Linked DNA regions of Sus scrofa. The protein of the gene in region 3 purifies or fractionates together with the protein of the main gene of each other region. This does not show direct contact. Links are inferred from orthologs where the notes say so. Each region holds a gene or a part of one and is shown on either strand. Other genes may lie near its edges. The genes, in order: CSGALNACT2, XXYLT1 and SLC30A1.

Evidence for each region.
Region 1: the proteins of SLC30A1 (region 3) and CSGALNACT2 purify together in Homo sapiens (co-immunoprecipitation; 3 studies listed by BioGRID and IntAct, counting the BioPlex papers as one, with this or other methods). This does not show direct contact. The link is inferred for Sus scrofa from reciprocal best matches to the Homo sapiens genes SLC30A1 and CSGALNACT2.
Region 2: the proteins of SLC30A1 (region 3) and XXYLT1 purify together in Homo sapiens (co-immunoprecipitation; 3 studies listed by BioGRID and IntAct, with this or other methods). This does not show direct contact. The link is inferred for Sus scrofa from reciprocal best matches to the Homo sapiens genes SLC30A1 and XXYLT1.

Annotation. Positions count from the first base shown.
Region 1 is NC_010456.5:61,392,712-61,396,309, reverse strand, and holds part of CSGALNACT2 (chondroitin sulfate N-acetylgalactosaminyltransferase 2), read right to left. Parts: intron 2,943-3,598; coding exon 2,726-2,942; intron 1,312-2,725; coding exon 1,210-1,311; intron 321-1,209; coding exon of another isoform or gene 263-320; exon of another isoform or gene 232-262; intron 1-231. UniProt on the Homo sapiens protein: Transfers 1,4-N-acetylgalactosamine (GalNAc) from UDP-GalNAc to the non-reducing end of glucuronic acid (GlcUA). Required for addition of the first GalNAc to the core tetrasaccharide linker and for elongation of chondroitin chains.
Region 2 is NC_010455.5:132,267,184-132,271,328, forward strand, and holds the start of XXYLT1 (xyloside xylosyltransferase 1), read right to left. Parts: upstream 2,804-4,145; 5' UTR 2,694-2,803; coding exon 2,190-2,693; intron 1-2,189. UniProt on the Homo sapiens protein: Alpha-1,3-xylosyltransferase, which elongates the O-linked xylose-glucose disaccharide attached to EGF-like repeats in the extracellular domain of target proteins by catalyzing the addition of the second xylose.
Region 3 is NC_010451.4:131,632,240-131,636,431, reverse strand, and holds the start of SLC30A1 (zinc transporter 1), read right to left. Parts: upstream 2,847-4,192; 5' UTR 2,834-2,846; coding exon 2,218-2,833; intron 553-2,217; coding exon 1-552. UniProt on the Homo sapiens protein: Zinc ion:proton antiporter that could function at the plasma membrane mediating zinc efflux from cells against its electrochemical gradient protecting them from intracellular zinc accumulation and toxicity.

The DNA.
Region 1 (3,598 bases), on a different chromosome or scaffold from region 3:
TGAATGAAACACACTTGCTCTCAGACATCAAGCCCAGGGGATCATGAGATGGTCCTAGTCAGGACTGAAAGGGGGCCATCAGGAGGAGGAGCTAGTGAAGGGGGAGGCCCAGACAATGTTTGTTTCTCACACTCCAATACTATGACAGTCCCTTTGGGGCAGGGACTACAGTTTCCTCCTTTGCACCCAGTCCTATCCCAACCACCCCGGTCAGACTCCCAAGCGGTGTACCTGGAACATAGTCGGTAGGACTCAGTGAATGTTAGTTGAACGATTCGAGAATGGTCGGCCAAATCTGGACTCTTAGGGAATGGCCACAACTAGCAGAAAGGTAAAGAAGCAAGTAAAGGATACAGAGTTGATGGGGTCAGAAAAGACAACCTAATATCTTACATTTTAGCATATCTACATTTATAAAATATTTACATTTACAAACATCAGAGGAGAGTTTTAAGACGGAAGTACTGCTGAGCTATCAAATGTAAAAAAGCAGTCAAAGAGGATGACAGAGTAAAGGCTGAATTTGGCAGTTAGGTTATAACTTTGTTTCATAACTTAGAGATGAAAAGGATGAGAAGCTATAGAATTAATAATAGAGTATTAAGGAATTACTAATTCATTCATTCAAACCTCTGAGCACCTACTATGTGCCAGGTACTATAGGAGTTGCTTGGTTAGAGGATTACTGTTCTATGAGGTTTAGCTGTGGAAGGACAGAAACCCAACAGTAGCTATGGGGTACTGTAGAGTCAAGTGGGGGTCTCTTAAGGATAGGGGATACCTAAGCATCATTTACAGGGTGACAAGGAACTTAGGAAAATGGAAGGAAAGAAAATAAAGGTGGCAAGTAAGAGACAAGCTCAGGAGATGATATCAAAGTGAAGGGATTAGAGTGAGAAAAAGGGCAAGAGTCAACAGAAGGAAATAAAGAATAAATGGAGGCAAATATACAGAAGGTGAGTGGGCTGCAGAGGGAGAGCACCCTAGTCATGCCATGCTGTCTGCCAAGAGGTTAGGAGAAGACGAGTCTTTTAGAGATGCATGAGTGCACTTAGGGGTGAAATGAGGAACTCACTACCACCACCACTCACATGCTCAACCAACTTTTAAATGGCAGATGTTCAAAATTATTAACTCATGAAGTATCTGAAATTCTCATTCTTCTAGTGTTACATATCAAGGACTTTAATGTGGACATGGCTCACCAACCTTGTGACAGATTCCAGGATAGACTTGACTTTAGATAGTCCTTCTTTACCAAAATACACCACTGTGAGATGGATTCTCTTGTCCTGATGAATACACACATCCCTAAAAGAATTGAAAAAATAAAGCTCATTCGGAAAAATACATAAGGCACTACTCATTCTGAAAGCAATCACATGAAGCTTTAACAAGAAAATAAGCATTACTCATTTAGAATGAAATCACATGAAGGTTTAAATAAATATAAAACTGGCAATATTGCTGAATTATTAAAGGCATCACAGCAAACACATAATAATATATGTCTAAATGAATGCAATGCTTAGACGGCCATGTAAGCAACCCAAAAGGGTGCCATATTTCAGAACATTTTTGGAACTTTTGCTTTGATATTGCCCTCAGAAACAAATTATAAGCTATTCAAGGAAATAAGTTTAATCAGTTCAAAACCACATAAATAAATAATTCAAATTTGAGGTCAAGAGTTATTTTGTCTTCAGACTGGCTATTTCCAGAAATTATACCGATCATTAAGGAATAAATATTCGCCATGATTGAGATTATAAACTGTAAAGAATAACATAGCATATGACAGGAACTTCATGAAAGGCAATTAAAAATGCTTAGGAAATCAGATCTCAAGAGAGCAATTTCAAAAAGGCAAAACTCATTTGGCAGCTTCCAGATATTATATGACAGATTTAGGCTTTTATACCCAATAACTTCAGTGAGAACAAAGATTGGGGTTACAAAGCATTAAAACTAACATATTAGAATATTAAAAACATGACATCTGTTAAATTAAAATGAAAAAGCTCGACTTTCCCCACTTACCCTAACACGTAGTTGTTAATTCCTTAACATTTTAGAATTTTAAAATATCCAAATGTAATAACCAAAAAAAGAAAAAATTCTTTTAAAAACTGTTATAGTCTCTGCTTCCCAAGAAGGAATAATGTTCTCCCATTTTTGCATGCTTTTTTTATTTGTATTTCTAAAATTTCCTTCAATTTTAAAATTCAATTGGTTCTCAGGGGAATTTTCTGAGGCGACAGCAATGTTCTATACCTTGATTGGAGAGGCAGTTACATGAGTGTATACACTTGTCAAAAGTCATGAAATCTCTATCCTTAGAACATGTGGATTTACTGTATGTCAGTTATGCCTCAAAAAAGTTATTTTTCAAAATTCAACCTGTTCTAAAACAAATTCAAACACAATGATAAAGGTGATCAAATTTTGTTTCTAATAGTGTCACCCTCGACTTACTTCATAGTTCAAACTGTCAGTCACAATATACTATACATGCTTTAAGAAAAAAGGGACTATAAAATTATTCCAAAGCCTATAAAATTATTCCTATAAATTATTTCCAAAGCCTATAAATTATTTCCAAAGCCTATAAAATTATTCTACAACTCTAAATAATCATACTCAATGAAGGTAGATTAAATAAAATGGCATTAAATGTGCTTCTTTGTAGAAGCACTTAGCCAAATTGCTAAGCCCTCAGAGTTACCTGAAGTTCTGCATAAACTGTGCAAATGCTTCAGTCCTTTCAGCGAGAGGCACAATGATGTTAATAATTGATCTAGTAATGTCAATCATCTCACTCTTCACTTTCATGAGAGGTCCAAAAGGGCGGAAGAGGGTCACATGTCTATATTCCATAAGGTCTGCTTTCTTAAAAAAGAGTTCATACTGTGTGCCCTTATCTCTCTCCGTGCGATAATAACCTAAAAGAAAGAATTAGGATAAAGATGTCTTCATGCCAAAGTTTACGAATTCAATATGACTACTGATTTTACTCAAAGATCAAAAGTATGAAAACAGACTTGCAGGGTTTTTATCTATTTGTGAGAATTTTATCCCCCTGGTACAGTCATTAACAACTATTTCTTTAAAAGAGAGGTTAGGAGTTCCCTGGTGACTCAGTGGGTTAAGGATCTGGCGTTGTTACTGCTATGGCTCAGGTATGATCCCTGGCCTAGGAACTTCCACATGCCTTGGGCATGGCCTCCAAAAATAAATAAAAGGAGAGGTTAAAAAATGTTCCCCACTCTGTTATATTATTTACTCTATAAAATACGCTCCAAATGACAATGTTTCTTTTCAACATATGACCTTTTTAATAGTGGAGCCTATCAACACAGAAATCAAATGATGAAAATAAAGAAATTACTTCTAGCAATATTAAATTCTACACCTGAGAGTCAAAAGTTTTTTTTTTTTTTTTTCCACTTTTTTAGGGCCGCACCTGCAGCATATGGAGGTTCCCAGGCTAGGAGTCTAACTGGAGCTGGAGCTGCTGGCCTATGCCAGAGCCGCAGCAACAAAGGATCCAAGCTGCATCTGTGACCTTCACCACAGCTCACCAGATCCTTAACCCACT
Region 2 (4,145 bases), on a different chromosome or scaffold from region 3:
GAGGGAAAGGTAGGTGTGAAGTGGTTCCAAGAGAAGCATTCCTTTCAGGAATATTCCAAACCCAAGGAAGAATTCAATGACAAATAAAATGAGGCGAATCTTTTAGGACAACACATTTAAAGAAAAAAGAGCATCCTCTGTCACAAACAGAGAATAGGTTCACAAAAAAACAATCCAAAAGGAATAGGAGTCATTTTAGCTAGAAGTGATGAGTCCTTATATGAACATAGCCCCATTCCTGGTGCCTCAGCAGGGGTGGTGTCAATTCCCTGTGGCCATCTGCAGCTGCCTCAGGCCTTGGGCAATGGCTGTGGCTGTCAGAACTGGGCCCAGCAGAGGAAGGGAGTCAGAGCATGAAACACAAACTCCAAGAAGGGAACCCTGGTCCTGAGGCTGGACCTGCCCTGGACCAGTAGTCTCCGTGCCTCTGCTGCATGGCCAGCATAGGGATGGGAGATAAGACGTCTTGTAGTCACAGCACAGGGAGGTATGCAAGGAAGAGGCAGACGTGTCTTTCAGATGGGGATTCTTTGGAAGGCTCCAAGGGGGGGGCTGGCATCTGAAGATGGGCAACTCTCAGTGATGCAGAGAGTAAGGGTACCCTGCCAGTGGAACGACGGAAGAAGGGGCAGGTAGGCCGGACAGCAGAGGGTATGTGACAAGACACTGTAGCTGGAGCTCAAGGAGACAGTAGAGCCCTGGCAATGTGGTACAGTAGGCGGGAGTTACAAACTCTGACTCAGAAAGTGAAGCGATGACAATGACAGTCTTCGAGCTGATGTCTGGAGAGCCAGTCAAATCCCAGTTTTGCACAGACTGGCCCTATGATCAAGGGCCCTTGGTTTGCTCCCTGGGACTAGCACAGAATCTCTCAAACATTAGAATCCTAAGGGCCACCCCCAGAGACTGCAATTAGGGAAACTGAGCCCCAGGCTGAAAAACCCCAACAGAGACAGTGGGTCTCTGGGGCCCCTCCAGCCACAAGTTCCAGGACCTGGATTTCTATATCATGGACTCTCTGACTACGGTGGGTGTTCCTGGAGGGCTCATTTCTTCTGGGCAGGGGAAGCTGGAATAGAGATCTGTCAAGGGCTGGGCACAGATTGTCCCTAAGTCTATGGACATTCCTGGGGGAGTTGAAAGCAAAGAGTGGCCAAAGGCCCAGGAGAGAAGGAAGGACATTCTGGGTGGAGAAGAGAGCTTGTATAAAGGCTCATTCAGTACAATTAAGATCTAAGGTACATGCAGAGGAAGGACAAAAATGTAGGTTGGAGTGGAGAGCCAGGCCCACCACCCAGAAATCGATTCTGTAGTCAACAAACAAGAGACCTGGAGGCCTGCAGGATGCTGGCATCAGCTCCCCTCACCACCCCTCCCCCCACCATCAGGCTCCATCTTTTAAGATCACCTACTATTCCTATTCCAAAATCAGTCCCCTCTGTGCAACCATGAGGTTAAAAGGAGGCAAGCAATTTAACTGAGGCCATTGACACTAAGCTAGGAATCCCCGAGCAGAGCCAGGTGGTGAAGCCAGAGGATGAGGAGGCAGGTTGGTCCAATGACTAGCTCTGCCCTGCTCTCCCCAGATCTTATCTGTACCTCCTGGAGCGTTCTCTTCCTCCCTGGGAAGAACCCTCTGCTTCTCTAAATGAGCTCATGACCCTAGAGGGTGGGGGAGAAGGGACACATAAAGGAGATGAGGTGGTTCACACTGGAGCTTGACCAGTTCCGACTGAGATACCTTGGAGCTATGAGAAATGCCACTGTAACTTCAAGAATTCAAGAGGCCTACGACCCTGTCTATCAGATTCTGCAGCAGAAGAATACTGGTGCTTCAAATGACCTGTTCCATCCTCAAAAGCCAAAGACTGGAGGAGATTAAAAAGAGGGGCAGACTGGAAGGCACTCACCAGTGAACCCTGCAACGCTAGTAAGGAAGGGGCGTGCCGATTCTCAAGGGGGCCACAGTTAAAGGGGGATACCAGGTCAGGGTAGTCAGCTAACGCCGAGGCACCCACCCGGACACGCCCCCGACGATGCCTCCAGTCCACTTCGGGGAGAGGGTGCGAGTTGGCGTTGACAGTAGGCAGCGCAGCGAAGTCGCCTCCCTCCCGACCCCCTGAGCCTGGTGGGGCGCGCGCACTGACAGAGCCACCCGCCCGGAGCCTCCAGCTGAGGCCCCTGCTCACCTTGCACTTGAAGCCGGCGGCGGGCGGCAGCAGCTCTCGCAGCAGGGCCTTGGCCACCTCGCGGCTGGCCTCCTCGCTCACGAAGTGCAGGTTAAGCACCTCATTCGCCTCGAACTTAGCAAGGCGCAGCAGGGAGCGGAGCGCGATGCGAGCCTTGGCCTGCAGCGCGGCATTGTGTTCCGCCTTGGTGAACATCATCAGCAGGTGGTAGTCCACCGGCCCAGCCCCGCCGCTCTCCAGGCTCTTGGCCTTAGCACCCAGGGCTGGCGCCACGGAGCCCCGCGCCACCTCCAGCACCGGCGGCGAGGGCACGGCTGGGGCCCCGGCGCGGGCCTCCTTCAGCCTCTTGGTGGCGCTGGAGAAGGTCTCCCGGCCGGAGCCGAGGTAGTAAAAGGCACAGACCGCAAGCGCCGCGGCCAGGAGCAGCGCACAATAGTGGGAGCGCACAGCGCCCAGGCGTGCCATGGCCCGAGCGCATGGGGGCACGCCTCGGAGGAGACCCATGCGCCACCAGCCCGCCGACACAGAGCAGCCGGGAAACTGCAGCGGAGACCAATACCCCGGCAGCCACTTAGTAGCTCAGTCGGCGGGCGGCAGCCATGGCGGGGGCGGAGCCTTGCTGCCGAGGGCCAATCCACGAGCGCTGATGCTCGAGAGGCGGGGCCAGGGCTGTCCTGCAGCCGCTGGGTCCTAGGCTCGGAAGGATTACAGCCGAGATGTGCCGCGAGTTCACGGGATTCACTCCCGACCCCCGACCCCCATCCCCCAGGTGGTCAGAGGATCTGGTGAGGACCAAGACAGAGAGGCCAGCTGGCTATACCGTCTGTGAAAAATGGCCCTCTTAAGTGCCCAGCCCCAGACGCTAGAAACCAAAGCTAAGCCCTCGGCTACTCAAAAGACTAAATTGGGCAAAAAACATTTTTCTCTTATACCGTTATTCCTCTAATTTCTTGAAGGCCTCAAGTCCTCTCTCTGACTCCTTTCACACCTTGGAGTTTAGCTGGGGCTAAAGAATTTACACTGGCCACTCCTTCCCCATTCTCAGTGAAGGTGGAATGACAACCAAGGTGTAAATCGCCTGCCCACCTCACTTGCAACTCTGAGGCCCACTGGAAGCAATTTAAAGGTGTGGCCACCAGGGGGGCCCAAATGCCCAAAATTTAGAGGAGCCCAGAGCTCTGAAGGGGAGTAATACCAAAGATCGTGATACTCCTTAAACACACACACACACACACACACACACACACACACACACACACACACACAAAACACAAAACAAAAACTTAAACATTTTAAAAAAGACTTAATATGTAACAGGTAATTTTGCAAATTCTTTTTCCTTTTGGCTACACCTGTAGCATGTGGAAGCTCTGGGGCCAGAGATGGAAACAGCAGCACAGCAGTGACCACAGCTTGCAGGAAGGTGGGATCCTTAACCCACTGAGCAAGACCAGAGATCAAACCTGCATCCTCACAGAAACAACATCAAGTCCTTAACCCACTGAACCACAACAGGAACTCCAGGAAATTCCTAACTGAGGCACAGCTGAGGTCACTCGTCCAAGGTCACACAGTGGCAGTTTTGACAGTATAGTTGGACACTGCCAACTACATAAGTAAACATGCACAAGGGTCTGCATGCTTGAAAGAGGTGCAGGTGAAAACACAGGCACACACAAATTCCCTCCGCCCATTTATTGTAACATCCCATTATTTCTCAACTGGGTTCCCAGAACACAATTCATCTCATTTTTAACTCTTGTTCTTTTCAACTGGAGCAACATTTATCTGAATAATACTGGACTTCCGAAGCAGTCTTGGCAACAAACTCAACATACTACTCACCTTGCGGGGCAGAGTGGGGACCGCAATAGCAGAGTGAACTTGCTTGAATAACAGGGTTTTACTTTAGTTCATTTAATCCTCACAACATTAAGAAGCAGTGTTATTTGCACT
Region 3 (4,192 bases):
CACATTTTATGTGAGCAGTGGCAATGATTCTGCTTCCAGCAAGTTGCCAAACATGTAATTCATGAACTTCCTCAACTCCTTCAACATCTCGAAGTTCCTTTATCAAATTTTTGATATCAATTTGTTTGGGAACAGTTTGGAGAAGAATAAGAGCAGACTCCTTAAGTAATGGATAAGTTGTGTAAAGAAGTATACAAACCATTACAATACAAAGAGTTGGATCTAAATATAGCACCCAGCAAGGACCAGCCTCATAAACTGTTGCATGAGTACTATTAATTAACTCTACAAATGCTTTGCAGGGGTCAGGAACACATGGATTCACACACATCTCCCCCTCAGGACAACCTTTCCAAGAAAAGTAAAAGACTAAGGCATTTACTACTACAATCACGGAACCCAAAGCATCTCCAAAGACATGCAGAAAAACTCCACGCATGTTAAGTTGTCCAGCCTTATCATCATCATCTTCCAATTCCACCTGGTCCGGTTCTCTGATAAGATTCCCATTCACTTGTACTTCCACTGCATCACTTCTGGACTTTTCTGGATCTACAAAGAAATAAAGATTCCGTATCAAACACACATCTAAAATGTTTATATAAACATTCTTGCCTAATTCCATTTAAGAAATGGAAGTGAACATTTTTCACAAAACATAATTTAAAAATGTGCTCAGGAATCTAATATAAATTGACATACTGGGAACAAGCCAGGACAGAATGGCCAGGCTAAATTAAGTCATTAAGATGATATTGCTTCCCCAACACTCCTAGCCACTCACTGTCCAACACTACCACTTCAAAAAAAAGGTTCATCTTTTCTGTATGTGTGTGTGTGTGTGTGTGTGTGCTTTTTGGCATATACCAAAAGGAAAACTAAATTGGACACTATCACCCCAAATTAAATGCAACTATGGATAAGTCTAATGCAAATGGCTAATTTGACACAGTTCTTTAGCCATCTTTTGTCATTAAGGTGTTAACTTTTACATTTTTGTCATTTATATAAATGAGTCTCTTAATGGAATGGGTTTAGAAACTAACACATCAACAATATAAACCTATCAACAATCACAGAGACTTAAAGAAAAGTTGGAACTATCATTATCATTACTACTTCCTAAATCAAACATAATGATCCTTTAAAAGAATTATACACACCAGAGCAGCTTAATTTTCTTTGGAATGACACCTTGCAGACTAGAGGGGGAGTGAGAGGATATGCAGTTGTTTACGAAACCTCTTCAAAGTACAACCTGAATTTCATTAACATAACATCCTGCATCTTGGATAAAGGAAAGCTGTCTATGTAGCATAAAACTAGGTGAATAAATATATATGGAAAAAATCTAGAAGGAAATACACAAGTTGTTAACATCCCTGGGCTTGGGTAGTCAGGTATTAGATAGATTCCTTTTTCTGTCGCCTTCAACGCCCATTTCCCAGATTTCCTTCAAAAGCACTTACTGTTTAGAATGAAAACTGTCCATTAAAAATATAAGCTGAATTACCATCGCTTATCTTCGTATGATTATGGAAATTCCTAAGTGAAATGTTAAACATGCCCAGACAGGTCCGAAGTCTAAGATTTTCAGGGTTTGGTTTAGATTTTAGAAAATTACCTGAAACATACACGGCTGTTCTTAAGAAGAACCTTGAACCAGGGTTTTGAACTCAGGCAAGTCAATCGCTAGATAGCTGGCTCGGGATACATCAAGAAACTTGTTGGAAGGGCCTCAGAACTACTTGGGCAGAGCAAGGTCCCAAACAGCCAACAACTAAGGACCAGCGGGGGATTCTCTCCGTGGGCCGACAGGGTCAAGAAATTGAATTAGGAAGCAGTTTGGATCCTGCTAACGCCCAAATCAGACACTCTCTTGAAACGGCAGCCTGAGAAGACAGCCAAGTGTGGGGTGCGGGCAGCAGGGGGCTGACGGTCACCCCTGACCTTTGTCTGCTCTCACAGCCGCGATGCCTCGTCTACACCCACCCCCCAACCCCCGAAGCGTCCCCGGGCTCATGACACCAGGCTGAAAGGGGGAAACCTGCGTTTCCGCGCCTTCTGGGCGGGCGCGGGACCGGGAAGGAGCGGCGAGGCGGCGGTGCGGCGCGGCGCGGCCCGCTGGGCACCAGGGGGCGTGCGGGCCACCCCGCCCGGGGCCACCCGGGGTCTGGGCTCCCCAGGGCCAACCACCTGCGGCGGCGACCACCTCACCTGTCCGGTCCAATTTCAGCCCGTTGGAGTTGCTGCTCTTGGCCACCAGGATGTTGGTCTCCTCCTGGTCGGTTCCCTGCTCCCCTGGGGCCGCGCTGCTGTCGCTACCGCCGGCGCGGCTGCTCTTGCCGCGGCCCCCCTTGGGGAGGCCGTGGCCGTGCCCCCCGTGCGAGTGGCCGTGGCCGGAGTCGTTGCCGAAGCCGCTGTGATGGTGGAAGAGGCAGAGCCCCAGCACGTTGACCACCAGCCCCGCCACGCCGACCCCGAGGACCACCAGCGGCTGCTGCATCTCGTGCGGCTCGATGAAGCGCTCGATGGCCTCCAGCAGGATGGCGAAGCAGAGGCCGGTCAGGAAGATGGCGTTCACCAGAGCCCCCATCACTTCGGCCCGGATCCAGCCGAACGTGTTCTTCTGGGTGGCGTGGGTCCGCCGGGCGAAGCGCTCGGCCACCAGCGCCACCACCAGCGCCAGCACGTCCGACAGCATGTGGAAGGAGTCCGAGAGCATCGCCAGCGACGAGGTCACCCGGCTCACCACCACCTCCAGGACCATGAACATGAAGGTCAGTAACAGCATGCAGAGCAGCCGGCCCCGGTTCCGACCCCAGCACCCCATGGCTGCGGCTTAGGGGCCCGCCGAGCGCGGCCCGGACACTCGTGAGGCGGCGGCGGCGGCGGCGAGGCGCCGAGGGCCGGCGGCCCGGCCACGGAGGAGGAAGGGCGCCGCCGGGCTCTCACCGCCGGAGCCCGGCCGCTCGGGAGCCTGCGGTGGGGCCTCCGCCGCCGGACAGGGGCGAGCCCGGGGTCAAGCCGCCGCGCCCCCGCGCCTGCGGGCGTCCCCGGCGGGCCGGTGGCGCGCAGCTCCTCAGGCGTCTGTCCTCGGAGCCGGCGCGGAGGCCCGGCTCAGCCCCAGCAGCCCCCACACCCACGGCGGGGCGGCGGAGGTGGGGAACTGGGGCTCCCGGAGCCCGCGGACCAAGAGCCGGAGCAGGAGCGGGCGGGCGACGGGCAGCTCTGCGCTGTGAAGACTCCAAGCATCTGCCGGCTCTCCGCGCAGGTCTCCCTCTCTCAGGTCTCCCTCCGGTGTGGCTCGGACCGAGGAGCCGACGCCTGAAGAGCTGAAGAGGCGGCAGCAACCGCAGCTGCACTCGGCCCGGTGTCGGGCGCCTTCTTCGCCCCCCCGCCTTTGCAGACGGTTTACAAAAAAACTTTGCTTTGCACTCGGAACCCCCGTTTTCACACGGACCCGAGCGTGACAAGGCCTCGCCGCCCCGCCCACCAGGCCCGGCATGCTTCCCCATTGGCCAGGACCTCCTCACGACAGCCGCCGCGCCCCGCCTATCCGCGCTCACTATTGGATGGAGCCCGGCGGGGCGGGAGGGGGCGGTGTCGTGGCTCTAACAGATAGGGGCGGGGCCTTTCCCTTCAGGAGCCGGGCGTGGGCCGGGGGCCGCGGCCGGGTGCAGCGCCTGGCGTCGTGGGGGAGGGTGGGGGGCGCGGGCCGCGTGCAGCAGGAGGGGGAGGGGCGGGGCGGGGCAGCCGGGGTCCTCCCGGCGTGGCGGGGCTCCTGCTCTGGCGCTGCGGGTTCTCGCAGCTCCCAGCACACCTACGGGGCCCGGCAGCAAACAGACTTTGATCCTCCGAGCCGGGTCCACGTGGGGCGGGCCGCGCGGCCGCTGTGACAGGCGGCAGCCTGGGAAGGGCCGAAAGGGGGAGCCCCTGTGTGCGGGGCCCTCGGGTGGGCCCTCCTGTCAAAAAGCCCCGAGATTAGGCCGACGGACTCGAAAGCAAGGGCAGCACGCAACTTGTGACTCCGCTCAACACCCAGCTGAGTTAGTCCGAGGAGGTCCTGCGAGGCGATGAAGGGAATCTTCGTAAATGTTTCAATAAAGCGAAGCACCCGCATCACCACCATCCCCAGGAGACCTTGCGTGAAGCCGTATATTTCTGTCACTGATTATCTAAGGGCCACTTA